Linked DNA regions of Coturnix japonica. The protein of the gene in region 3 purifies or fractionates together with the protein of the main gene of each other region. This does not show direct contact. Links are inferred from orthologs where the notes say so. Each region holds a gene or a part of one and is shown on either strand. Other genes may lie near its edges.

Region 1 (6,507 bases), on a different chromosome or scaffold from region 3:
CATTGTGCCCACCTTCCTCACTCTCTGTCCGTGTCTTCCTCCCTTAAAAACAAATGCTGTGTCACACCAGTGACAAATGGTGCTGATCCCATGTAACCACCACCAGGTTCAAGAAATCCAAACCTCAAAATGAGGCAGCAAAAAGACAGCTCGGCTTCCCCTTCCACCCACACAGCTTTCCAAAGCAACGTGTCTGAATATGATCCTACCACCAAAAAAGGGATGTACTTCTGTATTAATGCACGTACACCTATTAATGTATGCGTATACGTGTATGTGTAAGCATGCATTTGTGACACCCTGGGGGCAGGATGGATGCAAGGTGTTATGATGGTGATTGGATGCCAGGAGCTGCCCCATGCAGCTCTCTGTGCCCTGGTGTGGCTGAAGGAGGCACGGTGGTGGTGGGGCAGCCCTTCTGCAGGGCTGGAGGAGGAAGTAGTCACGGGACGGGGTGAGTCACCAGCATCTGACCTGGTACATCCGGAGGATCCCTCTCCAGAAGCCTCTGGAAAGCACCAGCACCTGCTCTCTGCAGCTCTGCACAAGGGCAAACCCTCCCAGCCCAGCTGCAGCCCCTTGGGTGGTGATTTGGATAATGATTCCCTCTGCAGAACCTCCTGCAGCCTCTGTTGTGGTCCGTGAGCACAGGAGCAGCATCCCAGCAGGGCTTTGCTGTGACAGTGCAGAGCTTGGGTAGAAGGAGCACTACTGACGACTGAGCCTTTGGAGCAGCAATCTCAGCAAACGTTTGCAAACAGTTTCCAGCAGAAGGTGGGTGGAGGGAGGAAGCAGAGCTGCGGGGCTGCTGAATGCTCCTTTCTGAGCCCTCCCTCTGCAACTTGGAGTCGTGAAACTGGAACAGTTTTATTCCCATCCTCTTTGCTGTCCTCCTGCTCCGTCCATCTGGGGAGCTGCTCATAAGCCGGGGCTGACAAGTGGTTTTTTGAGCAAGGGTTGTTCTATGGATGGAATGTGGTTCCTAAAGAAGAGCAAGAAAACATTCAGTGCTGCCAGATAAATTCCAGGCCTGGGTCCTCCAGGTTAATACAGGCTCAGGTTAACAAGAGCTTAAGCCAAATCTCAGGCTGCAGAGCAGTGTGCAGTTGGGGTTGGTGGGGAGACATCTGTCTGTCCGTCCGGCTGTGGGATGGGAGGATGCAGTGAGTGCCATTGGAATACATGGGAGCACGGCAGGGCCGAAGCACCAGGCCACGGGGAAACACCAGAGTCAGGGCCTGGAGGAGGAAATCCCCACCTCGAGGAGGAGCAGGGAATGCTGAGTCACCCCGTCCCGTGACTGAGCTGAGCTCACTGCTCACCGCAGGCCTTGTTTGCTTTGTGCTTTGAGAAAGTGAATGATGTCACGGCCAGAGAGCCCAGCGTGACTCAGCAGGCAGCTGAGATGGGACGCTCTCCATGTTTACTGGATGGAAGTGCCCATGGAGGAGAGCAAGGACTCATGTTGATGCCTGGCTGTGGCTCACACCAAGCTCTCACTTGTCACCTCATGCTGCACGAGTGCCACGTCCCAGGAGCGTGCTGTGATCCCAGAGCAGCCACATGTGCACCAAGGGCACATCCACACGGCAGGCCGTGTTGTGGCACACACAACCCATCGTGGGGGGACGCTCACCCTGCAGTGCAGCACAGCATGGCTTACACACTGTGATTGCCTCAGCCCAAGGTGGGCAGCCAGGCTGTGGGCTGGAGGGAATCAGTGCTACAGAGCTGAGGCAAAGGGGTTGCTCCAAAAGTAATGCCTCCCATTTGCAGGTGGGATGGCAGCAGAGGGTGAAGGAGCCAACAGCTGCTGAGTGTTATGGAGCCCAACGAGTGGGTGAGCACAGCACTGTGAGCACAGCACTGTGAGCACGGCATGGCCGTGTGTTTCACAGTCACCTGTAGAGCAGCATGCAGCCTCGTGTTCACCACTGATGACAATGCACAGCACAGTGGTGGTGACCGCGTTGAAAAACAGTGCTTTGTAGCTGAGAACCTGCTCTGTCAAACAGCGTCACTGTGATCTCTGTAGCTGTTGTAGTTTCCATGCAGATAAATAGGAGGCATTACTTTCGGGGCGAATATGGGCTCTGTATTTCCAGGCGGCGGGGCGGTGCCTAATGGCAGTGGTCGTGGTTTAACCCAGGGCTGTGCCCACCCCGGCCCGTCCCCCCGCTCTATAAGGCTCGGTGCCGCCGCTCCCTCCCGCAGCACCGCCCGCCCCGCGCCGCCTCCCGCCGCTCGTTGTCCCGCAGCAATTCGTGCTGCGCCACAGCCATGGCGGCGCTGACGGTGAAGGCCTACCTGCTGGGCAAGGACGACGCGGCCCGCGAGATCCGCCGCTTCTCGCTCATTGCTCCCGTCCGCTACCAGCCCGTCCACGACCGCGTCGCCGAGCTCTTCCAGGGGCTGCTGCGGGCCGGGCCGCCGCCCGCGTTCCGTATGCATTACAAGGGTGAGCGGGGCGGGGGGGCTCGCTGTGGGTCGGGGCCCCCTTCGTTGTCCGGGAGGTGGGTGCGGGCCGAGCGCCTGACGGTGTGCTCTGCTCTGTCCAGATGAAGACGGGGACCTGATCGCGTTCTCCACCGACGAGGAGCTGGATATGGCCATGCCTTACGTGCAGGACGGGGTCTTCCGTGTGTACATCAAAGGTAACGCCCCGCAGCCCGGTGGCACCGAGCGCTCTGTGCTGCTGGCACGGCTCCGAGACCGGGAAAATCCCGGTCCTGTCCCTCATCCTCGTGCTGCAGCTCAGAGGGGAGGTTACATAAAGGGCGAGGTAAAGACGGGCACAGACCCACTGTGTGCAGGGGTTCCTCCTGGCTCCGGGGCCTGGGTTGGCACAGTGAGCGCTGCAGTGTTCAGGATGGTCCTAGGAACCCCCTGCCGTACTGCCAGCAGGTGCCATGACATGTAAAGAAACCCCAAAACCAGCTTATTCCTAAGCACATCATTCCCCAGTCCGCTCTGTTCACTTGGACACCTACAAAGCTTTATCTGTAGGCTGTGATGTGAGTAGTGTAGGCCGCCCTTCTTGTCTCAGTTCTCACCTGCAGTGTCCCCTGGCACTGCTCAGCTCTGTTCAGAAACATTCTCTTCTCGCAGCACTCCACAAGGTAGGAGGATGCTCCAGGCAGGGTGGTGCAGCACTGATCTAAAACAAAGTGTTTGAAGAGCGGGTATCCTTGAACCACCCCTTTGCACTTGGTTTATGTTCTTATGTGCCCCCAGCTTGTGTTTGGCAGCCAGTGTAAAAATAAACTGCCCTAGTAAGTCAATACTGCTGTGACAAGGGCTGTTTGTGTTTCCTTCCCCTCTGCCCGATTTCCAGCCTTTAAATAGTACCCTCGTTCTTGATGCAAAGATCCCTTTCCTTAATAGAGAAAAAGGAGTGCAGGCGTGAACATCGCTCCCAGTGCAGCCAGGAGCCTCCCCGGGACATGGTGCACCCCAATGTCATCTGTGACGGCTGCGAGGGGCCGGTGGTGGGCGCTCGATTTAAGTGCACCGTCTGCCCAGACTACGACCTGTGCAGCACCTGTGAGGGGAAAGGCATCCACAAGGAGCACAACATGGTGATGTTTCAGAGCCCGCTGCTGAATCCGTTTGAGGTGAGCAAAACCTATGGAGCAGAACCAACAAAAGGGATGCTGCCCAAATGTAAGCTTTAAGTTTCACCTGGTCCCATGAACGTTACCCTTTGCAGTGGATTCCCAGAGGGCGCTGGCTCCGTAAGATGCGGCATGGTGTTCCACCCTTCCCCTGGATGCACTGCTGGGGGTATCCCGCACCTGCAGCTCCGTGCCAGAACTCGGAACAAGCCCAGGCCAGTGCTGCTGCCTCCAGTCCACCCGCTGCTGGAGGTAAGAGGAGATGGTCTGCTAAAGGAGAATAGTAGTGGAGGAGCCAGAGAAGCTGGGACTTCACAGCCCAGTGTGGGATCTGGGTGGGAAAATAGACATGGGAACTAATCCAATTTGTGTGAAATAATGAGCCCTTTCCAGGACACTGGTGTGGTCTGGTGGCCACACAATATATGAGGTTATGGAGAGCCTATTTGGAACCAGACCAAGCAGAGCTATTAGGTCAAGCATGTCACTGCTCTGCTCTTAGATGTGCTTTCAGCATGGCTGATGAGCCTTAACAGTGCTAATGCCACTGGTCTTCTGTTCCAGAGGTGGTTTTGGTCTCTCTGCTGCCTTGGTGCTGTGCAGATGAGTGACACAAAACAAGCACCAAGAATTCCTGGGGATGTGCTCTTTCCCTATGGGCTGCTATGTGTACTAACACAAATTGTTCTTCTAGAAGCTTCTACTAACAGCCAGCCCCAGGACCCCAATGTCACCTTCTTAAAGAACGTTGGGGAGAGTGTGGCAGCTTTTCTGAGCCCCCTGGGTAAGTGACTTATGGTGTGTCATCCCCATCCCTGAGAATGGCTTTGCTCCCACCAGGAGCAGCAGCCAGCTGTTGTGGCTGGTACCAGAACCACTTTGTGCTACTCAGCCTCAAAAGCCTTAAGTTTCTGTGTACTAAAATTGTGTGGGTATAGGCCATCTACTCAGTACCTTTTCAGAGTCCTTTGTAAGGATCCAAGGAAGGGATTAATTATATAACCCCAAATCACCGATGATTTAAAATCATGTTACAGTGGTATTTTGCTTAGGCACACATACTTAAGGTCTGCCTTGACCCTCTAAACACATGGCCTGTCTTTTTAGTGCAGGATGACTAATTGGTGCATCAGAGCTAACTAAAAGAACGCTTTGCACTTGAATTCATACGTATTATATGGGGAGCTGTAGGGTTACAGTCATGCTGCAGCACTTAGTCCAGGATTAAAGTTTGCTTTTTTTCTTAGAACCGTGCTTTCAAAAATCTAATGGTTTTTTCTTGGTCTCAAATGTATTCCCAGGTATTGAAGTTGATATTGATGTGGAACACGGAGGACAGAGAAGCAAAGTGACTCCTGCTTCTAATCAAGAGAATAACGGTGCCGAGTCAAGCAGCAGTACTGCTAATCAGAACAGTCAGAGCAAACCATGCTGGAATAGCACAGATTCTGCAACGGTAGTAAACAATGTTACAGAGCAGATACAAGACATGGTGATAGATCCTGTGCCCACACAAATGGAAGATGGCAGCCTCCAGTCCCAGGTACAAGAAACACTGCATTAATTTAATACGCTTGCTGAGGCCTTACTGAAAAGGAAATAATTCAGTATGTGTTGAGGGACTGATGATTCAGTTGTCAGCAGATAGAGAATATATGGCACTTTGCTTTACTGGTTTACAGCAAAGGTGGGACTTGTTGTAAATGTAATTCTTCCTATTAAAAGCAGATAGTAAGAGCATGCATCCTACCTGGAAAGCACTACGGCACCTGGACCTCCTTTCTTTCCATTTCAGGCACACAGTGAGTCAAGCAGTTCATCAGGGGGTGACGAGGACTGGACCCACTTGTCTTCCAAAGAAGTGGATCCTTCCACAGGTGAACTGCAGTCTCTACAAATGCCAGAGACAGATGATCCCAGCTCCCTAGATGTAGCTCAGGAAGCTCCCCAGGCAGGACCTACAGGGCTGAGAGAGGCTGCACTCTACCCACATCTCCCACCAGGTACGAGAATGCATGCAGGTTGCACGTGAGTTAAAGTTGCTCTCACTTATTGCCAACTTGTCCAATATAAGCAAACCTGCTTAGGAACCAAGCTCACATACAGACAAGTTAAACTGTAACTTGTGCTCTGGCAGCACTCTGCATGCTGTTAGGAACAGGCATGTTCTCTGCTTGAATGGTGGCAGCAAGTCTTAAACTGGTACTAATATGCCATTTGAGCAGGATGAGAGAGGTGGCCTCTAATCAGTGTCCTTGCTGTGTACTCTTGGAGAGCCTTTTAATGCAGGCTGTAGACAATACATCCTGTAACTTAAGACACTTTTCTGGCAAGAGCTAGTTAGGAGTCTGCCAGGTCACTTAACTGAAACCACTGGCAATGAGGTTTACAGCAAGGACAGATGGATCTAACTCAGCTGCTTCCTTAGCAGGTTACATATGCTGTATCTCAAAATGTCTGCCTCATAGGATACAGAGGAAAGTGTCTTCCAGCGCTTGTCAGCTATGCTAGATCTGCTAGGATTAGTGCCAGCCCACCATGTGATACCACAGCCTTGGCTGGTTTGCTAATAATGTGAAGCGTTTTAACTTCAAACTCATTCTCTTGACAGAAGCAGACCCTCGCTTGATTGAGTCTCTGTCCCAGATGCTCTCCATGGGCTTCTCTGACGAGGGTGGATGGCTCACTCGACTCCTGCAGACAAAGAACTGTGACATCGGGGCAGCGCTAGATGCCATCCAGTATTCCAAGCAGCCTCCTAACTTGTAGTAGCCTATGTAACAAAAACCAGTTTCCTTCTAACTAAAAGAAAACTATGTGGTACAGTTAACTCTAGCAAATGCATCTTCTGTTACAGGTTTCTGTTTCATGTTCCTAAGTGCTTGTAGTGTGG
Region 2 (5,914 bases), on a different chromosome or scaffold from region 3:
AAGAGGTTACAGCAAAGAGGAGTGAAGCGACAGGACACGAGGAAACTACCTGAGGTTGTTCAAAGGGAGGTTGAGATGGATGTTAGCAGGAATTTCCTATGAAAGGAGTGGGGAGGCATTGGAGCGGGCTGCCCCAGGAGGTGGTGGCATCCCCAACCCTGGAGGTATTTCAGGGTCATGTGGACATCAAGCTGGGTGGTGGGGTTTAAGACTTGGTACTGTTACATGATGTCTGAACTCAATGATCTCGTGACTAAATGACTCTACAGTTCTACCTGAAGTTCCCACCCATCAGAATAAGCACAATAATTTAAGTCACATTAAAAAATAACCCTTTTAGCATCCTGACCTTTCTTGATTCTGAATCATGAGAAATCCACCTAATCACTGCTTCAAAGACGTATCTTTCATTTCCAACGTTGAGCTTTTCCATCGACAGCACTTCTTTCAGTTTTTGAGGAGTCAGTTCCAAGAATTCCTCTGTGCTGCTGACATCTCGAAAATGAGTTTCCAGATACTCTGAGGCAAGGTAGTGAACATGATGCAAACAATAGTGCAGTGCAAAGTCCCGAATACCAATACAGTTCTCAGCAGCTATGCAACCTTCTAAAAACTCACAGCAGAGAGTTTTTAAGTCTGTAAGCAGCAGGAGATCAGCTGCCTGTACCACATCTTGGATAGTTTCTTCATTTAGCCTGATCTGCAAGAATTAATTTAGAAGTTATCGCTACTATCACCCGTTTGCTTCATGACATGTCCATATTCACTACAATCATTCGCAGCAGCTGGGAAATGGAATATTAACAGCATTGCAAAAATTAAGAGAAATCAATACAACCACTATACACTGATAAATTAACCAAGGAAGGGGAAGGGATTGACTTGACAGAAGGTGTCAAAGCAGGATTTTGCACCTGAGGGAACCATGAAATTGCTGCTCTCATCCAAGAGCCTACAATGGATTTTTCCGCAATAAATTAATTACCTTTAAACAAGAAGCAGCACATCCAGGAAAGAACCTCAGGATGTATCTGCTTCTTTGCTTTTGCCTAAAGCTCAAGTAGTTCAGCCATCACACTCTGAACTGCACACATTGACTCCTGCTAAGGCTACTGGAATAAAGACACAGTGGGCACACGGCCAGCAGGAGGCCAGAGAACCAGACAGAATGCCTGCAGTTCTTTAATATATGGGGTCAGTGATGGGGTCTCAGCTTCCACTGCTGTCAATGCAGTTTGCTTTTCTGGTAGTGAAAGTATTCATACATTAAAGCAGGCTACTGAAGACAGTTTAATACAAGTATTTAAAATGGAATTTTTCAGTCCTCTTCCACAGTGTGACAAGAGAGAACTCCTTGCAGAACTTGCTGCCTCTATTTCACGGGCAGAACCTATATGAGATGTACCACTCTGCAGTCTCTTCATCGCTAATCTTTAAAGTGTGATCCCCAATGGATTTATCTTCTGCTATAGTAACATTAAAACCCAGGTTGTTTTGTCAAACAATTCAATTTCCATCTAGTTCTTTTTAATACCATACCTGCCCACTGAAGATGTAATCTAGTATCTCTTTCATGATATCAACAGATATCCCTTCAAGTTCAATCTTGTACGTTGAGCCATCATCCTTTGGAGGGTTGTAATTCAACTTCGTTCTAAGAGAAGAAGGGAAGATGAATCAATAAATAAGCAGCACTCAAGAGCTGGGCACAGCATTTCTTTCTAAAGAAAAATGACAGCAGGAAACTGTGGATCACATTCGCTAAAACAGGAATGGTAAAACCTTACAGTATAGTCTGAAAATTGGCACGAAGAGATTATATGTGTGGACTCTGGTACTGCTCATCACACGTGCAGACCGAACAAAAGCAGGTTTAGCCTTGGAAACTACTTATGGCACTGAAGAGCCAAAGCAATTTTCTCCTGGCTCATTCATCCCAAGCATTCACAAACATCACTCACAGCTTCAAACAGAAGGGCACTTCTGCTGACAGGTGAAACAAGAATTTCCTTTGGTAAAGGTGAAACAAACTAACAGACAGCGCCCATTGCTTTCCCAAAACAACACACTGGAATGAGCATATGTGACTGAATGTACCCCAGCAGCACAACTCGACCATTCTGTCTGGGTTATGATGTTATCAGCCCGGTGTTACGACTGGCTGCAGCTGCACTGTGTGCTCACAGTTCTAGGAAACAGGCCATGTTCTGCTCAGCCAAGCTGTAAATATTCACCTGTATCAGCAGACACGTTTCTGGTGAGCAAGTTTCTTTAAAAACCCCGGAAAGTTTGGATGTGCTTTTGAATAGAATGGAGAAGAACTGGAAAACACCTTAAATTGTCACTGTCTTCTGTTACACACACTCACACTAAGCAGATATGACTTCGCCAACGGCCAGATTCTGCTTCACTGACACTCAGAATAAATCATTTTCTCAAAACATACAACTCGCATCAAATAAAATCTGAGTCTATAAAGAGTCTGAAGAGCAAACAAGGATGGCAGTTTGAGCTCTCAACCATATCTGCTGCCTTGTTTTCATGCTGCTCTTCTACGCTGTGAGCAGAACTGTCAGCAATAACTGCTCCAATCCATGCACATCACTGCAACAGCACTGACATTAAGCTGCTGTGCCCTGTGTTTGTGTAGCACCCAGCGCATGTAACAGAACAACAACATAATTTGGATGAGCAAATTGCTTATTTCCTAACTCTTGGAATGAGATTAGGAAAATTAAACACCTTCTGTAAATGGCCCACGTGTGTTGAAAGAACAGACACTGATCTGTGAACTGTCAGCTAGAAACTTCTATAGCAAATATAGGGCTCAAGCAATGCTGTGCAACTCGTATCCCAACCCACCCCATCCTGCCCAAGGGGAACAGGCATTTCCCAAACCTACAAGCTCCAAATGAAGGAAGGAGAATCTGCACACACAGACATCCATTCCCAGTTCCAGGGTCAGGTTTCTAGATGCAGATTTTCAAGTCTATCCAAATTACCTCAATTTCATGTTCGTTGGTTACACTTAAGTTTGGAGTTTCTTGTTTGATAATGAAAGCTATACATTTCTCTCCTGGGATTAAATGGCATTTTTGTTATTAACACCAAACAGATCTACGTTAGCAGTGCCTGGAACAGCAGCCAGGTGGGATCCATTCCACACCAAGAACCTACGGGTAACAGCTATGGACCAACACCGAACCAGGGCAGCCAATGCACAGTGGGTTTTAAACCAAGGGCAAGCACATAATAAACACATTGCATAGCAGCACTAATGAGGAGATTAGGGAAAGGACTAGCACTGCTTATCACTAACTTTCATCTCAGCATCACCAGCCCACACCCAAGCTAAATCACCTTGTTGCATGGACTTTACACTGACACCTCCTAGTAACAAGGAAGCATTGCCCAGAGCTTTGGGGTCTTATCAGGCTCTGTGTTCTATTTCCTGTGTGTTTCTTCAGGGCACAACAGTTGTTAACCTGAAAAGAAACAAACCAATTGCAGATACTTCCCCAAAACACAAACAGAGCAGAGAGAAAATAAACTTGAGAGAAGTCGTACAGTTACAGTCTCTTGTATGCAGACAAACACGCACAGTATGCAAATGCTTCCCACTCAGTTTCCAACGACGCTGTGCTCCTATCATCTGAGAATAGTAGTTATCCATCTGTCTCAGAGCCTTAATTTGCTCGCTAATGAACTACCGGGTTCCCTGTTTTGGCACAAAGGTGTCTGAGCCGTGACACAAGAACCACTCCCAAACAGCAGCTGGATGGCTCATAGGGCTGGAATAGGCTAAGATAGAAAACTGAGTGTAGCAGCTTAGAGAAAACTGGAAGAAGAGGAAAAAAAACGGGGTACATAAGAGGAAGGAAAGGGGACTTTCCTCTTCTTGCACCACCTGCACTCACTCCTCACCAGCAAACAGAGCTCAAGTGCCCTGGTCACAGCACATCCCACTCTCAGAACCAGAATGTTTCCAAACATGTTTGTTCCAAGCTCAGGTGCAGAGCAGACGGCAGTGTGCAAAACACACAACCTGCTTGGTTCTCCATCAAATCTCAGTCTAAAAGAAAAGCTCCAAACCATGTTTGAACAAAGGTTTCCAGTCTGTCCATATGCCACGATGCTCCTTTCCATAGTGATTCATTCTTCCTATGATCTGCATGGATGAAATCTGGAAACCAGCAATGGACAGCAACGCGCTATGGCTGCTTCCAATGCATGTGAGAGCCTCCTGCTAAGGACAACATTTCTCATGACTTTAAAAGCACTCTGATTTGCCAAACCATTGCATAAATAGCTGCCTCATTCTTCTTCAGCTCAGAAGACCGACCAGACCATCCAGATTTGGAAGGAAATAAAACCCCGTGGCACAGAGCACAGCCCAGATGCGCACAGAAAACAAAGCAAGGGAATTTCTTAGCCTTATTTTCTCACTTAATTCAGTTCAGAACAGCTTGACTCCATGCATACGAACAAGCCCTACTGTGCTTGATGCTGTGTATCTGTCATAGACAGATTTAGAATCTACTTGTCCACGTCACTTAAGGAGCACAATCCTAATGAGTCATCTCAGATGTCACTGCATAACACACAGCAAGGAAACCATCCCAATACCTCTTCTTGAGATGTGAGCAATAAGACCAGCAAGTTAAATGAGAGCAATGCAGTCCCCACAGAGAACACCCCAGACTGCAGTTACTTGAGTAGGTTTAAGACATTTGTAGTGAAGAACAATTAGAAATTGGGAAACAAAGCCAGTTGGTTTGGTTTTGGTGCTTTGCAATAGGAGGTTATAACAAAACAAAGCTTTTGCCTACTTGGACATCACCACACTGTTAACAACGCAGCTCTGCAGAGCAGCTTACACAGCTGTGAGCAGCCAGATCCCAGCAGGCAAGAGGGAAACACTCTTCTTTCTAAAAGTTGCCTTTCCAAATTACTGATTTAGCTCCAGATTAATCACAAGGGCCAGCCTACACTGCACAGCCTCTGCCAATGGACGCTATTCCATCTCAGCACTGAAGTAACAAGGCTATCCTTCCAAATCAAAGCACAATAAAAGCCATTTTTGCTGACACATCCTTTATCTGCACCAGCGCTGTGACCTTCTCGAGAAGGCAGTTTCAAATGGAGCTGTATCTCTGACACAGCTGCATCCCAGGCCAGTTGTGGCCTGGACACCAGGAGGTGGCCATGGGACACCAGAGAGCACAAGCCTGTGTTGAAATGGACCACAATGATCATCCAACTCCAACCCCCTGCTGTGTGCAGGGTCTCCATCCACCAGCCCAGGCTGCCCAGAGCCACATCCAGCCTGGCCTTGAATGCCTGCAGGGATGGGGCACCCACAGCCTCCTTGGGCAACCTGTTCCAGTGCGCCACCACCCTCTGTGTGAAGCATTCTACCTGCAACATTTTTCTTCCACCTAAGCTGATCTTTTTGCATGCAAAGAACCTTAATAATAATTTACACCGTTAAATAGGTCACACACAACAACATGATGCAGCAGTTCACTCCACCCACTGCCCTCCTCCAACACGGCACTTTGCAGCCAAATGAGAGGCTCTCCTGGAGGTTGCGCCCTGGCCTTCAGCAGTGCACATAAAAGACTGACTGTCTTCACCACACCCTGCAATGGGTGCCAGCTCTCGGTGCGTTTTGGCTGTGCCTCGGCTACGTCTTTCTTTTTATGATCATCTGTAACTGCAACTTCTGGTCTCAAGGCGAGATATTCCACCCAACAGCTCAGCATACAGATCTGCACAAGTTGCTTCTTTTGGTTTAAAGGGGAACAATGAGGAATAATCTGAACTTCCCAACAGAGAGAAAAATTCAGTCAGGCAAAAACTTAAGGCTTTTTTCCCCTTCTATATGAAAAAAACCAGAATGAAATGACACACA
Region 3 (4,958 bases):
TCTTCTCTCTGATCAGGATGTTGACAATGCTTCTCTGGCGCGCCTTGATCTTGAGCGCAAAGTTGAGTCCCTGCAAGAAGAAATTGTCTTCTTGAAGAAGCTTCATGATGAGGTAAGCTGAATAATGAGGTCTGTGTCTGGGCACTGTCAGTCAAGTGAACAACTAAACTCTCTGGCTCTGGCCCCGAGTCCTAACCTATGCATTTTCTGTATAGTGTTGTTTATTAACACTGTCTCCTTCTCTCTAAGGAAATCCGGGAACTGCAGGCTCAACTCCAGGAACAGCACATCCAAATCGATATGGATGTTTCTAAGCCTGATCTTACTGCTGCCCTGCGTGATGTTCGTCAACAATATGAAAGTGTTGCTGCTAAGAATCTTCAGGAAGCTGAAGAGTGGTACAAGTCCAAAGTAAGTAAAATGTGTTGTAGGATTATACAGATGTAGCGGGCATTCAAATGAATTTTAGGTAACAGTTTTGCTGTAGCACTCAGTGTTCCTTCTGTACTGAATGCTAGCACAGCCGCAGAGTAGGGTAGTCTTTAAACTTATTGATCTGGGAAGAATACAGTTGGAAAAATTACTTGTGCCCTAAGTGCAGCATCAAACTAATGGGCTCGTTTCCTGTTCTTCCCTATTCTTGGAGCTGGAGGCAGTTCTTAAGTATATACTTAGGAAAGGAATGAATAAATGCATGAAAGGATCTGAAACATAACAATCAGGAATAGAGAAGTTCAGTGTAATGTTCACGTTTAAATATTTCATGTGCTAGAACATCCCTGTAATGGCTTCAGTTGCTTCCAAATCCTGGGTCTAGAAGTAGCCTGTTACACCATTTTAATGAGGAGTTATGCTAACCAAACTGGGTGTTTCTACAGTTTGCAGATCTCTCCGAAGCTGCTAATAGGAACAATGATGCCCTGCGCCAGGCCAAACAAGAAGCTAATGAATACCGCAGACAGATTCAGTCTCTCACCTGTGAAGTTGATGCCCTTAAAGGAAGTGTAAGTAGATGATGTTCTTCCTGATGCAGCTTTTTAAGCACTGTGCTGTAGTTCAGTGGATGGACGTGGCTGCAGCTGATCTCCCGTACAAGGCAGCAGTGTACCCATCCTTCCTGAAAAAGACTCATTGGGCTCCATTTGTCTGCATGTACTGTGTAGTGCACTGCTCAGATTGCTGTACTGAGCTGGTCTTTCTCAAGGTGTAAACATTACAGAATGAGCTATACGAAGCCTAAGGGAGCAGTGGAAAAGTGCAGATCTTGTACTTTCTTGAATCTAGTTGCCTGAAAGGCTGGCTTGAAATGGAGGTAACTGTTTAGTACACCGGTAGACTCCCTCACTAAGTACTATCTGCGTGCTGACTTGTACTGTATGTGTTTGACTTACTGTGGGGGTTTGCTTTGCTGTCTGGTAGCATAATGTTAAACGTGTCTCATCAGACACCTCACTCACAAGGCTTCACAAGGGGAGGATAAGGAGATGATAAAAGGGGGGCATGTTTGAGCCTTTTCAGAAAGGATACTGTTGTTCAACTTCCCTTCATGCTTTTTCTTATTTAAGTAATGAAGGGCCTTGCCATTAGGAGTGGCTGAACTGTAATTGTACTTGACTTTCTTCTCTCCCAGAATGAATCCCTGGAGCGCCAGATGCGTGAAATGGAGGAGAATTTTGCTGTTGAAGCTGCTAACTACCAAGACACTATTGGCCGCCTGCAGGATGAGATTCAGAACATGAAGGAAGAAATGGCTCGCCAGCTGCGTGAGTACCAGGAGCTGCTGAATGTCAAGATGGCCCTGGATATTGAGATTGCGACCTACAGGAAACTGCTGGAAGGAGAAGAGAGCAGGTAAAAATCATATGCAGACACCTACTTTCTAGCAGTTACTGTTTGAGATTCTGTACCATTGTTTGACTTGATCCATCTCTTCTTTTCCTTCAGGATTAACATGCCTATTCCAACCTTTGCTTCTTTGAACCTGAGAGGTAAGCTGTTTCTTTTGGGTCTATGTAGGCAGCTGTTTTTAATCTTTAGCAAAAAGGTCATGGATAGTTCCTTTTACTCTAGTATTTGAACTGGTATAAATGCAGCTGTATTTGAAAGTCTTTCTTACACACAACTACAGTATTTGCAGTTACTTAATTTTGGATGAGAGGTGGTACTTTGTTCCTGGGTGTACACATAGGGAAGTATCAATATCATAACAAGTGATTTGGATTTCTGCTGAAGCTGCTTTAAGAGGAATAGGAAGAAAATAAATAGGAAGTAAAGCTAGTTTATCATTCATTATCATTCAAAGAGAAGAAGGACTTCATATACTAAACTGGGATTCTGAAAGCAGGTACTGACGTCGGTCAGTTTGTTGAGGAGGCGCTTCATCCACACTTTGGTAACAATACATTTTCTTCTGCAGAAACCAACATTGAGTCTCAGCCAATGGTTGACACTCACTCGAAGAGGACACTTCTAATTAAGACTGTGGAAACTAGAGATGGACAGGTTGGTGGTAACTTCTTTTTTTTCCCCTTCTTTTCAATTTCTATCTCAGCTGGTTCCTTTGCCCACTTCCGTACCCTGTGCCACTGATTGGTGCAATCAATACATGGCAGCGTCTGGCAGTCCAAGCTGCATGGCTGGGCATGCAGATGTAGCAAATGTACTTAAGTGGAATAGACCACAAAAAAGATCTGAGAACAGCTTGAGTGAGAACAGTCTCTCTTTAGAGGAGATTTGAGGTTCAGTTGAGTTACAGGTTCTCAAGATTTCTCCTGTCACATTAGAAAACTGTTGCAGAGGAAGCATTTATTAGAGGTGGGATAGTGTATTTGGCCTACATTGAAGTTGAGCTGGTTAAGCACGTGCAGGTACAATTTAAACTTCTCACTCGTAGGCAAATGCTGATATCTTAGTGTACATGTGCCACAGTTTGTTTCAGTTGTAACTCTTTATAACAGCTATCTTAAGCTTAATGCAAGTGTCTCTGTTTTTCAACAGGTTATTAATGAAACTTCCCAGCACCATGATGACTTGGAGTAAAGCTGAAGTGAAGATGCAGACTTAATGCAGGAGAAATTCTTACCAGCAAGGGTTTAAAAAGTTCATGTCTTAAAGAAAGAAACAGCTTTCAAGTGCCTTTCTCCAGTTTTTCCATGAGCGCAAGATTATTATGCTAGGAAATAGGTCTTAGATCTTGCAAACTGACTCTCCCTGAAGGATTAGAGTTTACAATGGAGTCTAGTTTACAAATAGCAATATCTTGTGCTGCAATACTATTTTTTAAGTATCTGAATTTAATAAAACTGCTTTTTCCAGCACAGTATGAGCAACCTGTCGCTACTTCAATAAATCTTTGGAAAATGGCTCTTGATGTGTTCTAATTTAACTTCATGACTTTCTGCAAAGCCATAAATTAATGCTGGAATTACTATACGGTTGATAACTCCAGTACTGATTGTGTGGAATATTGTTTTCAGATTAACTAGACAAACTTTTTTCCCCATTTAATGCTTAGGTTTTGGAACCAATTAAAATGTGGACTATAACTGGCAGATGCATAATGTATTGATACTTCTTATCAGTTGAATAAAATGATACTTCAAGCTAATAAAAATTAATCTTGCTTTCATATATCAGTTAATCCAGTTGATGAGCTAAGAGTACTCAAAATACTTTGGAGCTAAGCTGTATAAACTGTGGTAGATAAGTGAGACACGTAGCTCATGCACACCCTTATCTGAGACAGCACCTTTGCAAAATTAACAGCTGACTTGATGTATTGACTTCACTTTCCAGGAAAGATTAGTTCCCAAAGGCTTGTCTGTACTACAGGAACTGAAATGAAGGCTTCAGCTGAAGTAGTGGGTTATGGAGATGATATTTAAAGGGAAAAGAAGGAAAACAGCTTTCCCAAGCTATGCTGTGGCATCAGCTCTTTCTGAACACTTATCTAAAAGAGAAGAGATCCTCACTGATCTGTGTTTTCTGCTGAAAATCAGCCTCAGTGCAGCAAAATGGGGCAACTCCCATCTGGACTAACAGCCTCCTAGAGCAAAGGGAGAGGTTTCAGTTCTCTATGAAGGGTATTAGAAGAAAAGCAAAACACTTCAAATTGATGTAGTCAAGATACAAAAGTAACTTTTGTTCTGCATTACTTCTGTAGATCTTTCTGTAAGAATTCAGTAAGGTCTCATCTGCTGGATGAGTAAATGAGGACTGGAATTGTTCTACAAGTATGAACTGCATTTATTCCTTTTTCAAGGTGAAGACACAAAGGTTAAGTTCAGTGTTGTGCTGATGCTTTCTTAGGTGTGTGGGAGCTGATCTTTCTTTATGAAAAGATTACCCAGACAAAAAAAAAAACCAAAACCAAAAAACAAACAAAACCCACACACCTTTTTTCATCGCTATTAGTTAGTTCTTCCCTTTGTTTCAGGGCATGATGATTAACAAGCAGCACAGGGTCTGGTGGGAGGAGGCCGTAGGTGTGCACATTTTTATGCCACCAGCTGTAGCACCCAGCCAGGGGTTGTGCAGTAACCAAGGTGCTAAAGGGGAAGTTAGTCAGGGACAGCCTGGTGAGCAGGATACTCTCACTGAAAAGTGAGACTGAACCCAGCATCTCATGTAGAGGTTACAGATACAAGGCTTTTTATGTTACATACAACTACAGCTGAGAGATGCCCTTTATGATAGTGGTAGTTCTGGGTATGTACAACAGCTCATTGTGAGCACCTACCTGACACAAGCATCTGCAGCCTTTAAGGATAAGAGTGAGGCACTTCCATCCTGCTCACAGCAGCTTTGGGCACTAAGAGCTCATTCCTGCTGAAGTACAGGGGCGCACTGAGCAGTGGCACTGCTGAGCAGGAGGAGCAGGCTCTGCCTGGAGACAGCAGGAACCTGTGTGTGGCACATGCTGCTGGAGATCACCTGAGTTACGAGAGCCTTTCACACGC
Region 4 (5,914 bases), on a different chromosome or scaffold from region 3:
TAAGATCCCCTCTCAGTCTTCTCAAGGCTGAACAGTCTCAGGGCTCTCAGCCTTTCTACAGAAATAATATGACATTGCTGAGCTGAAATGATTAATTTTAAAAGAAAATGACTTTAAAGATTGGAGGACTCCACACCTCACAGTTGGAAAGCAACTGAGGTTCCCATGTTCCACTCTATTGCAGTTTACTGGGCTGTTTGCAGCAGTTAGCTGACAGGAACACAGTGGAGCATAGGAAACATGCAGTATAATATTGCAGAATTGTGGGATCAGATTGCAGTGAAAGAGTTTCTGTATTCTATATCATTCTACACCTATAGATAAAGCAAGAAAATTTCTACAGCAAATACCAAGCTATAAAGTTTAATGTAAATGAAAAGCATTATTTCTTTAAATTCTTTTCTTGTCAGAGACAAACATGCTGGATAGAACTCCCCCCCCAACCCCCGGCCCTACTCATGCAAGAATCCATTTACAGTAAAAGTCAAATTTGCATTTTCTTTCCTATAATTGTCAATACCTTAAAGAGTAAAGAAAGAGTATGACGTTATAATTTAGCGGTATGAAAATGCAATCTAAATTAAATCCTGTGTTAATATAGGATATTAGCCAAAGCACTGAGAAGGCTTATGTCTTAGTCTATAGCATAGTTAAGGAATCTCATGCTCTTAAAAATATATACTTAGTTGTTGGTTGTTCTTTCAACTTCAGTCCACTTTTGGTGAGTTTCTTGATTGTTTCATTTCTTGTCCTTCATGACTGGTATGCAGACTTTCATCAAAGAAAACATTTGTTTAGAGCCGCGTGGAATATAATATTTAGCTTCAGAAAAATCCAGGTGTTGAATTATTGAGATCAGCTACATCTTCCTCAGGAAAGATTCCTTCTGTTAATCAGAGTGATACCAGCCTGTGGGTCGTGGTTTCCTTCTGCTTGGAATCCTGTGAGGAGAACCTCTGTGTTTCTGACTCCCTTCCCTGTATCTAGCTCTCAGTCTGCCTCTTAGGGTTCAGGACTAGTTACTTTATGAGTTGACTTAGTGTGTATTTGAACAGACATTCTAGCTTTACCTGATGAAATCAGTGCTCAGCATAAGGAGGTAATCTTTGGTTCAATGTCCAGATGCTATAAAAAAAGTCATGTTTTCAACAAAGTTTACTTTGCCTTGTCCCCTTTTTTCCTTATCTTTCTGAAGGTCACTCCTACCAAACTTCTGTTCACTGAATGCTTTGGACAATTGTCTGGTTCTACCAGGTTCTGTAATTTCTGCCTTTGCATAGAAATATATATCAGAAAATGTGTTTAAAACAAATTCCTCCTGTTTGCACAGTGCAGGAGCAGAGTAAGCAAGGATGTGCTGCAGGGGTGAGAGCTGAGATGTTGAAAGAGCAATGGAAAGGCTAGTGGGAGACTGCAACAAAGCCATGCATATGAAAGGCATCAGGAAGCAAGCAGGAATCCAGCATGTAATTAGTAAAATATCACGAGGGCCTTGAATTATTTTGATCTGATTTGTTTTTTTGGTCATAGGGGAAGTAACCCCAGGATTGTCACAGGTGGAATATTCTCTTCGCCGGCACAAACTGATGACATTGATCCAGAAGGAAGCCCAAGGCTGGGAAGGATTGGACCACACGGTGATTCTGCTATCCAACCCCATGTACTACATGAGCAATGACATCCCCTATGTTTTCCACCAGGACACGAACTTCCTGTATCTCTGTGGGTTCCAGGAGCCTGACAGCATCCTGGTGCTGCAGAGCTTACCTGGCAAAGCACTTCCCTCTCACAAGGCCATACTTTTTGTGCCCCGGAGAGATCCGAGCCGAGAGCTGTGGGATGGGCCCAGGTCAGGCACAGATGGGGCCATTGCTCTTACAGGAGTAGATGAAGCGTACACTATTGAGGAGTTCAGGCACTTGGTGGCCAAGCTGAAAGGTAACAAAAACAAACGGGGGATGAGGTGAAGAGTGGGTCGTGGGGTCTGAATGGTACGTCTTTACGGTTCTGGGAAGAAACTGTAATAAGTAGGTATAGGCTTCTCCCTTAAATGCCTAATCTGTGAGCCTGTATTGGTGACAGAAGCAAAGAGGGTCTCACAAAGTCACAGAATCACCAAGGTTGGAAAAGACCTGCAAGATCATCCAGTCCAACAATCCACCCATCACCTATAGCTCTCACTAAACCATGTCCCTCAACACAATGTCCAAATGTTCCTTAAACACCTCCAGGATCGGTGACTCCACTACCTCCCTGACAGCCCATTCCACTGCCTGACCACTCTTGCAGAGTAGTATTTCCTAACATCCAACCTGAGCCTCCTCTGGTGCAGCTTGAAGCCATTTTCTCTAGTCCTATTGCCAGTTACACAAGAGAAGAGGCCGACCCCCAGCTCACAACAACCTTCCTTCAGGTAGTTATAGAGAGCAATAAGGTCTCCCCTGAGCCTCCTCTTCTTCAGACTGAACAATCCCAGCTCCTTCAGCTGCTCATGTAAGAGCTTTAAAATACTCTCATTAGAAGTAATCTATCCTTGTTGGATGACTGTAGAAAAGATGCAGGATCTTAGTTTAGGCATCTAAGGCTAACTAACATGAATTCCCACCTTCTGTCCCACATGGTCTCAGTAACGATGTTTGTAAACCGAGAGGCGGTCAGTGCAAGTAAGAGGCTTGTTCTGATGCTCCTGCCTATTCTGTGTTCAGTGTATTCACAGAAAATTTTAGTTAGGCTGACAACTTTAATATCCATATATTTTCTTTGGAAGTCCAGTGAGATGATGTAGAAGTGCTTCTCTCATGGGGGTTGTGCCTCTCCTCTGTGACCTGAGTTTTTTGGGTACGTATGTGAACACTGATGGGCACATCTCTGAGAAGTAAGGAACAATATAAACAAGAGAGCACGTATTACTGTTTTAGGCATATCTTTTTGTTTATAAGGCCAGAACCACTCTGAAGCACTGGAAACTTGAAGGAATTTATTCATAATAAATGTGAATATTTCATAACTTGAAAAATGATCCATCAAGGGAGTTTGTTAGTTCCCTCACCTTTGTTCCCGTTTAAAACATTCCTATGGGGAAACAGGCGCTAATTCTGATGTTCTAAATAGATTTTCACATAGGTAAATATGTTTGTCCTCAGTAAGTTAATCTCCTCTAAATCGCTGAAATAAGCAGTTGCTCACCAAAGATATTCCAAAGCATGGTCAATATGTAATGGATAAATGAGAGAATGATTCAAAACATGTCCCACTGCAGTGACTTGCTTGCCTATGCAACTGCAACCCTGATACACGAGCTACATTTATCTGTGCAAGATCAGTGATGATCAGAAAATCCAATATTTGCATACAAATGGGGATTTGTCAAATCTACATGTTATGCACTGCTAATTTTCTGGATTTTTAAGGGATCTCTAGTGTTATCTGATAGAAATTCATGACCTGTAAATACAGATTCAGAGAAAATTACCAGTGCAGCAACATGTCTAGCTTAGGAGGGGTGATTTTGTACAGTATGAGGAGGGAATATCTGAACTTACCTTCATCTGCATCAACATTTGTTTTGTATTCCAGGTGAGTCAAACAAGGTGTGGTATGATATGACTAAACCAGTGCATAAAGAACTGCACTCTGACTATATGCAGCCCCTGGTTGAGATAAAAGCTCGGAGCAAAAATCACATCCAAGGCATCCGGCATCTAGTGCAAAACCTTCGGCTGATCAAATCTCCTGCGGAGATTGAAAGGATGAAGATAGCTGGACGAGTGACATCGGAGGTGCGCAGTTGTGTACTCTCAGAAAGAACCAGTGCATTCCTTTAAACAAGAAAGCGGAGAGGGTGTTACAGCATGAGTTAGGCTGGAAGGATAAGATCTAATCTTAGTTACTGAACTGCTGTTTCTCAGCTATTGGCTGGGCTCAGCTCCCCCCATTTCACAAAGAAACACAGGAAAACAGCATGTACCACGAGCTTCTCTCAAGGGAACTTCAGCCAAGATGATCCAGAAGGTGTTAGACTTTGTTTTAAAGCTGTGTTTATTCAGGAACAGCAGTGCCCCTTATACTGTCTCCCCAACATCTACTCTCCTTCCCTGAGCTATTTTCTTCTCCATTTGTTCCATTGTTTTCAAGGAAACAGCGAATTTTAGGCATTCCCCAAAAGACAGCAGGTAACAGCAGGTCCTTTACTAACTGAAAGGTCCTTCTTCTTCTTTTATAGGCTTTCATAGAGACAATGTTTGCCAGAAAATCTCCAGTGGATGAAGCCTTTCTGTATGCAAAGGTGAGTGTGTTATTGTTGGAGGTGGGATGGAAGGGTTAAATGCTTCTTACCCTTCCAGGAAACTAGGAATGTCAGATCTCCCAATAATGAAAGAGAAATACATATTTTTCTGCCCCTATGGATATTTATCTTGTACCTGGTAGCCATACTAGTGCTGTTGCTCTCATGCATGGACGGGCTCCAAAGTTCAGTGCTCCTACACTGAGGATAAAATATTCTTCCTGGAGGTCTTTTGTTCATTGTTGTTATTTCCAAGAGTCAATAAAGATAGAGTCAAAGCTCCACAAATGGTTGTTGTGGATTTAAAGGCATTGAAAAAAAGGTAGGAGATTGATAAAATTAACAGAAAATAAGCTTCTTCTCTAGTCCGGCTTTGAAGATGCTGATCTGATTCTTCAAAGCACCTTGAGTGTTGTGGCAGGATACAAACTAATCCCATCAGTGATGGTCAGAAGCTACTACATGAAGGTTCAGTTAAAGAAATACACTGTGTGACGGAAGTTTCAGTGTGGGAGAAGAAGCAAAGGAAAGCCATGAGGAGAAAGAATTGGGAGGTCTAAAGAAAATAAGAGATAAAGGGGGAGACAAAATATAACAGTTAAGTCCAGAAAAGCTATAAAAGAGAGGGTTGGCTACATCTGTGTTTGAGTAAATGTGTCTCATGGACAAGAGTCCAAAGTGTGCCTTATCTAAGCAGACTGATAGCTCTGGAGACACACTAGCCCAGTAAATGAAAAATCCTGAGTTTGAACATAAGCTTTCAGTCAAGGAATCTTTACCATTTCCACCCACAATAAGTATGAATTCTGGGACGTTTGGATTTTCCTCTTCTTACTAAACGTGCAGAGAGATTATATCTTCAGTAAAGATAATTCACTGTAGATGATAAATCATACAACAAATATGATAACTGAGAAAAGAAATAAGTTACTTTTATGTTTTAGTTATCTGCTTGTTGCTTAGTACAGGGCTGTAGGTCTCAAGAAATTACTTCCTTTAAGGTGTGTAATTTTGTTACCTGTGTAAATCAAATGCAGTTTGTTTTCTACTATCCATTTTACAAACTATCACCAAGGCAATGAGGGAGTTAAAAAAAACAAAACCACAAAACAAGTCTTGGCGCTTTGTGGGAGAATTAGAAGGAAGCAAGTTTTCATTTATTGAAGGAGCTCTTCCTAACCAGGTGGTTGTTTGGTATGACTCTGGGAGAGCATTTTGGTGAAGGCTCTGACTTGTATACAAAAGAATTTCACCTTTCATGTCTGAAGAAGGGGATATCTAATTCATGTATAACTTGTTAGCAGCTGTAGTGTTTGCTTTTGTGGAACTTCTGCAGCTTTTGCAATAAAGTGTGAGGAATTCTTTAACAGTATTTTCCCCACCTTTACTGAAGGTCTAAATTTATCTACCACTGATGTCTTTTTTTACCATATTTTCCTACAAAACCAGTTAAACAAAACTGGAGACATAGTTATCATTGTATTCTATAAAACAATTTTATTGTACAAAATGAAAGTATATATAAGACCATTTTGTAAAGCCTGCTTCTCTTGACTCTAGCCTCTCACTGCATCAGCTTACCATAGCTGTCTTGAAGCAATGTAGACACCTGCCTGCACATTTGGTGAG
Region 5 (5,037 bases), on a different chromosome or scaffold from region 3:
GAGGCATTAGAGGGAGAGGACCCCCAGACAGGGGAGGCTTTGGGAGCCAAAGAGCTGAGGCAGGAGAGTATGGGCTTGGAGGAGGCTGAGGGCATGTGGGAGGAACATGTGGACCTGCAGGAAGAACATAGAGACCCCCAGGAGGGACATGGGGACCTGCAGGAGGAGAATGAGGACCTGTGGGAGGAACACAGGGACCTACAGGAAGAACATGGGGACACCCAGGAGGAACATAGGGACCTGCAGGAGGAGCCCGGGGACCTGCAGGAGGAACATGGGGATCTGCAAGTGGAACATGGGGACCTGCAGATGGAGCATAGGGACACCCAGGAGCATGGGGACACCCAGGAGGAGCATGAGGACCTGTGGGAGGAACAGAGGGACTTACAGGAGGAGCATATGGACCTGCAGGTGGAGCATGGGGACACCCAGGAGGAACATAGGGACACCCAGGAGCATGGGGACACCCAGGAGGAGCATAGGGACCTGCAGGAGGAGTATGGGGACCTGCAGGTGGAGCATAGGGACCCCCAGGAGGAATACAGGGACCTGCAGGAGGAACATAGGGACACCCAGGAGGAACATAGGGACCTGCAGGAGGAGCATGGGGACTTGCAGGTGGAGTATGGGGACCTGCAGGTGGAGCATGGGGACCTGCAGGAGGAGCCGGGGGAGACCCAGAATGAGCATGGGGACCTGCAGGAGGAACATGGGGACCTGCAGGTGGAGCATAGGGACCCCCAGGAGGAATACAGGGACCTGCAAGAGGAACATGGGGAGACCCAGGATGAGCATGGGGACCTGCAGGAGGAATACAGGGACCTGCAAGAGGAGCAGGGGGACCTGCAGGACGAACACAGAGAGCCACAGGAGGAGCTTGGGGACCTGCAGGAGGAATACAGAGACCTGCAGGAGGAGCATGGGGTCCTGCAGGAGGAACAAAGGGACCTGCAAGAGGAACATGGGGACCTGCAGGACGAACACAGAGAGCCACAGGAGGAGCTTGGGGACCGGCAGGTAGAGCATGGGGACCCACAGGAGGAATATAGGGACCTGCAGGAGGATCAAAGGGACCTGCAGATAGAGCATGGGGATCTGCAGGAGGAGCATGGGGACTTGCAAAAGGAACATGGTGACACCCAGGAGGAACATGTAGACCTGTGGGAGGAACACGGGGTCTTGAAGGAAGAACATGGGGACCTGAATGAGGATCATGGAGACTTGCAGGAGGAATCTGGAGACCCTCAGGAGGAACCTGGGGAACCTTGGGTGCAGCATGGGGAGCAGGGCTCTGCAGAGGATGGGTTGGAGCAGGACATGGTGCTGCAGCCAGGAGAGGGGGCATGGGGCAGGGAAGACAATGACATCAGTGAAAAGCAGCAAGCACAGGGTTGGGAAGGGACAGAGGAGGATAAAGAGGAGACAGGAGTCAACACCATCACATCCCAAGAGCCAGCCCAGGTGGATGATAACCCACCTGCGGAGGCAGCAGAAAATGAGGAGGGAGATGTCATGTCACCGACAGCAACAGAGGGAACCCAGGAGGGTGAGGATGAGGGAGATGCTGGGAGTGAGGTGCAGAGCCAGCATCAGTCACAGGACACAGCAGGACAGGAGGTTGATGTGGCCCCAGGACAAAAGGAGATCAGGTATGGGGACACTGGGGAGGCACCAGGGGATCCACAGGATCCAGTGGAGGTGCTGGAGGAGCAGGATGAGGAGCTGAGCTTGGAGCCCATTGAGCTGGAGAGAGGCAGCCCCAACACTGCAGTGATGCAGCAGGATCCAGGCAATGGTGCAGAGAATGATGAGCCCATGGAGGAGGACATTCAGTCAGAGGATACTCAGTTGGAGGAGCCCAAACCGTGCAGGATGGAAATGGAGGATACGCTCAACAGCACACCACTATGTGCATACAGTGGGGAGGTGCTGGAGTCTGATCCAAACCCTCCATCCAGTGGAGGGGATGAGGAGACAGCACCTGAAATGGCTCAGGAGGAGGAAGAGGAGCTGAGAGGGAGCGATGAGGCAGCAGTTCATGCAGTGCCAGAGAGCTGCAAGGAGTCAGGGATGGAGCTGAACCCTGAGCCAGAATGCACTGAGGAGGAGGAAGGGTACTTCATAGTTTCTGCTCCCAACCAAGAGGGGTCCAGCATGGAGGAAGCTGAGAACTCAGAGGAATTTGAAGAAATTAAAGTTGAAACAGCAGAAGACAGAAAGGATGAACTCACAGTGCCTGGAGGAGCTTCTCCGGTGCCAGAGGATGAAGAGCACTTGGAGCCATTTGTGGGGGAAGCTGAAGATGTGAAAATGCCCATGGGAGAATTTGAGATGCCAAAGGAGGAGGATGAGGAGGATGCAGGGGGTTTTGCTGCTGAGCTGGAGGAAGGACTGGCTGTGCCCATGGCTGAGGGGCTGTCTGAAGAGCACGCTGATAAGACCACCCTGAGTGATGAGGGGCTGGGGGAGGAGGATGTGCAGGATGGAGACAATCCCCCAGCCACTGAAACCTCCAACACAGACCCCTCCAACACTGACCCACCTCCAGGCACTATGCTGGAGCATGGAGCTGGCATAGAGGTGGCTGAATATCTCCCCGATGTGCCCACACAGCTTCCAGTGGACATGGTGAAAGACTCAGATATCCTGGAGATAGTAGAGCAAGCCCTAGAGTTCAATCAGGAGCTGGTACTGGGAGCCAAGCTAGCCAAGGATGAGGAGGGGGATGGCGACACACAGCCCCTACAGGAGGAGGAAGGGGGGTCCTCACCCACCTCATCCAGTGATGAGCAGCCAACAGTGCAGGAGGCAATAGCAGAACCAGAGCACACCAAGAATGGGGAGCAGAATGGGCTTCATCGACAAGCCAGCCTGGAGGACCTGGCTGAGTTCACCGAGGAGGGGCTGAATGGCATCACCCACCCAAGTGAAGCCCCTTCTGCCCACTCCCTGCCCAGCAAGCACAGTGGGGCTGAGCCTGTCCCTTCGCTCTCTCCACTGCACCCAGAGCAGGAGCCCTGGTCCTCGGGGGAGGAGTGATGGTGGTGGGACCCCCACAGCCCCCCACGACAATCGGACGCCTCCCATAGCACTGCCTACGTAGCACACCCGTTTCCTTTTGGTTTGTAACATGTTTGTGTGGGTTTTGCCTTGTTGAATGGATGCACACGGCAGCGCAGCTGAATGAGGGGCCACGACTTCACACCTCAGAGCAAGAAACCAGGCTCCATCTCTGCCCCTAGATCCCATACTTGTGCTGGGTTCAGCCTCATTTTGTACCCCAGGTTCACTCTTTATTGCAGTATTTAATTTAAACGTTTCATCTCCTCCTGCCCCATCCAACCCAGCCAGGTGCACGCGGTGTGATTTCCATACAGCCTCACCTTTGTGCTGCACACCGGGATGTCTATCCCCAACCTACACGATGCTCACAGCGCTGAGCCACGTCGGATGCATCCGCTGCATTGACACTAAGTTAATAAAGCATCGCCCTCCCACTCTGACCTGCTGCATCCCAACTCTCATTCCTATGGAGGGGGGAGGAGATGGATGGGGGAACTCATGGACTTCAAGCTGGGCTGGGGGTGTGGGGAGGATACGGTGTGTTTGAGGCTGTTTACCCCTACCCGCTGTGCTAGGGATGCTGTTGGACACAGTGTTGATGGGTGCCAGCCCACCCTGACCCTGTGCCAACACACTCAACAGTGAGACAGCAGAAAGCAGCTGCTATTGCTGCCTGAGCCAGGCATGCTGCCCACAAGGCTGCCCAGTACTCAAGCATCCCAACCCAACCAAGGCACATTGCTCCAGCCCGGATGGACGACACGTTACCACTTAGCCCTATGGCACCCAGAGGGGGTCTGTGAGGGGTGGGCATCGTGTGGGTGCCAAATAGATCCCCAGATCAGTGCAGCTCAATGCCTCTTTTGTGCATTGGACACGAAGGAACGCGCCAGCGGCCGGAGAATGGGTGGCCTTATGTGGGCAAAAGGCTGAGTCACGGTGGGCAGGGGGTGAGGGGAACTGGGTGGCATTGGCATGCTGCACTCAATGCTGTGCTGCTCACCCACACGCTGGGTTCAGCCCTCTGTGCCCCTGCCAGCACTGCATGGAGCCAGGCTGTGATAAGGACCCTGCATTTATCAGCCTTCACCGCACAAAGCCCCCCCCCCCCCCAGCCCCCTCCCCTACCCACAAGCGATGGTTTCCTTTTAAGGACAAACTCGAATGAAGTGATACAACAAGAACCAAAAAAAAAATCCCCCTCCGATTAGTTTAATCAGGCACTGAGCCTGTGTTCAATCAGCCCCTGGCCCACAGCCTGCCCTGCAGAGAGGCCTGGGCAGCATCACCCGATGGTGGCTCAGTTATCCATGGCGGACCCCCCCCCTTTCCCTCCCCTTCATCCCCAAAAGCTGTGGGGATGCTGTGGGGTGGGGGAGGTGAAATGCTGGGCCATGCGGGGGGCTGCATTCCTCCCAAAATTAATACGCATTCCAGGCAGCCCAATGCTGACAAAGAGACGAGGGGGGACAGATGGTGGGGGCAGCTCCCTCCTCACCCTGAGGAGGAGGAGGAGGAGGAGGAAGGGTCAAGGGCTGAGGGGTCACCATAGGGGTGGGGATGGCTGTGGGGGCACTTGGTTGGAAGTAAAACCCAGCCACTCTTGCCCAGAGACAACACAAATTGCATGAGTGGATGTCACCAAATGGGACATGAGTGCCCCCAAAAGGGGCTGCCCCCTTTCTAGGGTACCAACCCCATAGGGATCCCCATCTACAGTCCAACCCTACACACCCATCACCCCAGGGCTGGGATCACCCCATGCCCAGCACCCATGGGAGCACATATGCACTCTGTTAGCCAAAAGTCACTGGAGCAAATCAGATGTCTGCCACCCGCCTCATTAAATCCAGCCAGCCGAGCACATCTAATCTAATCTGGGGGGCAATGGGGCTTTTTGGGGGTGGGAAGGGAGGTGGTTGTTTCATCCTGACCCCTGAAAGCTGCTTATACACCATAAGGTACTGAATGTGT

Evidence for each region.
Region 1: the proteins of VIM (region 3) and SQSTM1 purify together in Homo sapiens (affinity purification with western blotting; 3 studies listed by BioGRID and IntAct, with this or other methods). This does not show direct contact. The link is inferred for Coturnix japonica from reciprocal best matches to the Homo sapiens genes VIM and SQSTM1.
Region 2: the proteins of VIM (region 3) and GAN purify together in Homo sapiens (affinity purification with mass spectrometry; 3 studies listed by BioGRID and IntAct, counting the BioPlex papers as one, with this or other methods). This does not show direct contact. The link is inferred for Coturnix japonica from reciprocal best matches to the Homo sapiens genes VIM and GAN.
Region 4: the proteins of VIM (region 3) and XPNPEP3 purify together in Homo sapiens (affinity purification with mass spectrometry; 3 studies listed by BioGRID and IntAct, with this or other methods). This does not show direct contact. The link is inferred for Coturnix japonica from reciprocal best matches to the Homo sapiens genes VIM and XPNPEP3.
Region 5: the proteins of VIM (region 3) and NES purify together in Homo sapiens (affinity purification with mass spectrometry; 3 studies listed by BioGRID and IntAct, counting the BioPlex papers as one, with this or other methods). This does not show direct contact. The link is inferred for Coturnix japonica from reciprocal best matches to the Homo sapiens genes VIM and NES.

The regions. Positions count from the first base shown.
Region 1 is NC_029528.1:4,615,858-4,622,364, forward strand, and holds the start of SQSTM1 (sequestosome-1), read left to right. Parts: upstream 1-2,203; 5' UTR 2,204-2,280; coding exon 2,281-2,458; intron 2,459-2,558; coding exon 2,559-2,654; intron 2,655-3,384; coding exon 3,385-3,614; intron 3,615-3,709; coding exon 3,710-3,866; intron 3,867-4,308; coding exon 4,309-4,398; intron 4,399-4,915; coding exon 4,916-5,157; intron 5,158-5,409; coding exon 5,410-5,617; intron 5,618-6,225; coding exon 6,226-6,383; 3' UTR 6,384-6,507. UniProt on the Homo sapiens protein: Molecular adapter required for selective macroautophagy (aggrephagy) by acting as a bridge between polyubiquitinated proteins and autophagosomes.
Region 2 is NC_029526.1:13,703,598-13,709,511, reverse strand, and holds part of GAN (gigaxonin), read right to left. Parts: intron 1,655-5,914; coding exon 1,540-1,654; intron 701-1,539; coding exon 350-700; intron 1-349. UniProt on the Homo sapiens protein: Probable cytoskeletal component that directly or indirectly plays an important role in neurofilament architecture.
Region 3 is NC_029517.1:18,024,520-18,029,477, reverse strand, and holds the end of VIM (vimentin), read left to right. Parts: intron 1-16; coding exon 17-112; intron 113-249; coding exon 250-411; intron 412-878; coding exon 879-1,004; intron 1,005-1,630; coding exon 1,631-1,851; intron 1,852-1,944; coding exon 1,945-1,988; intron 1,989-2,416; coding exon 2,417-2,502; intron 2,503-2,997; coding exon 2,998-3,039; 3' UTR 3,040-3,617; downstream 3,618-4,958. UniProt on the Homo sapiens protein: Vimentins are class-III intermediate filaments found in various non-epithelial cells, especially mesenchymal cells. Vimentin is attached to the nucleus, endoplasmic reticulum, and mitochondria, either laterally or terminally.
Region 4 is NC_029516.1:45,508,122-45,514,035, reverse strand, and holds part of XPNPEP3 (xaa-Pro aminopeptidase 3), read left to right. Parts: intron 1-1,530; coding exon 1,531-1,938; intron 1,939-3,576; coding exon 3,577-3,779; intron 3,780-4,222; coding exon 4,223-4,285; intron 4,286-5,914. UniProt on the Homo sapiens protein: Catalyzes the removal of a penultimate prolyl residue from the N-termini of peptides, such as Leu-Pro-Ala. Also shows low activity towards peptides with Ala or Ser at the P1 position.
Region 5 is NC_029540.1:615,518-620,554, forward strand, and holds the end of NES (nestin), read left to right. Parts: coding exon 1-3,039; 3' UTR 3,040-3,503; downstream 3,504-5,037. UniProt on the Homo sapiens protein: Required for brain and eye development.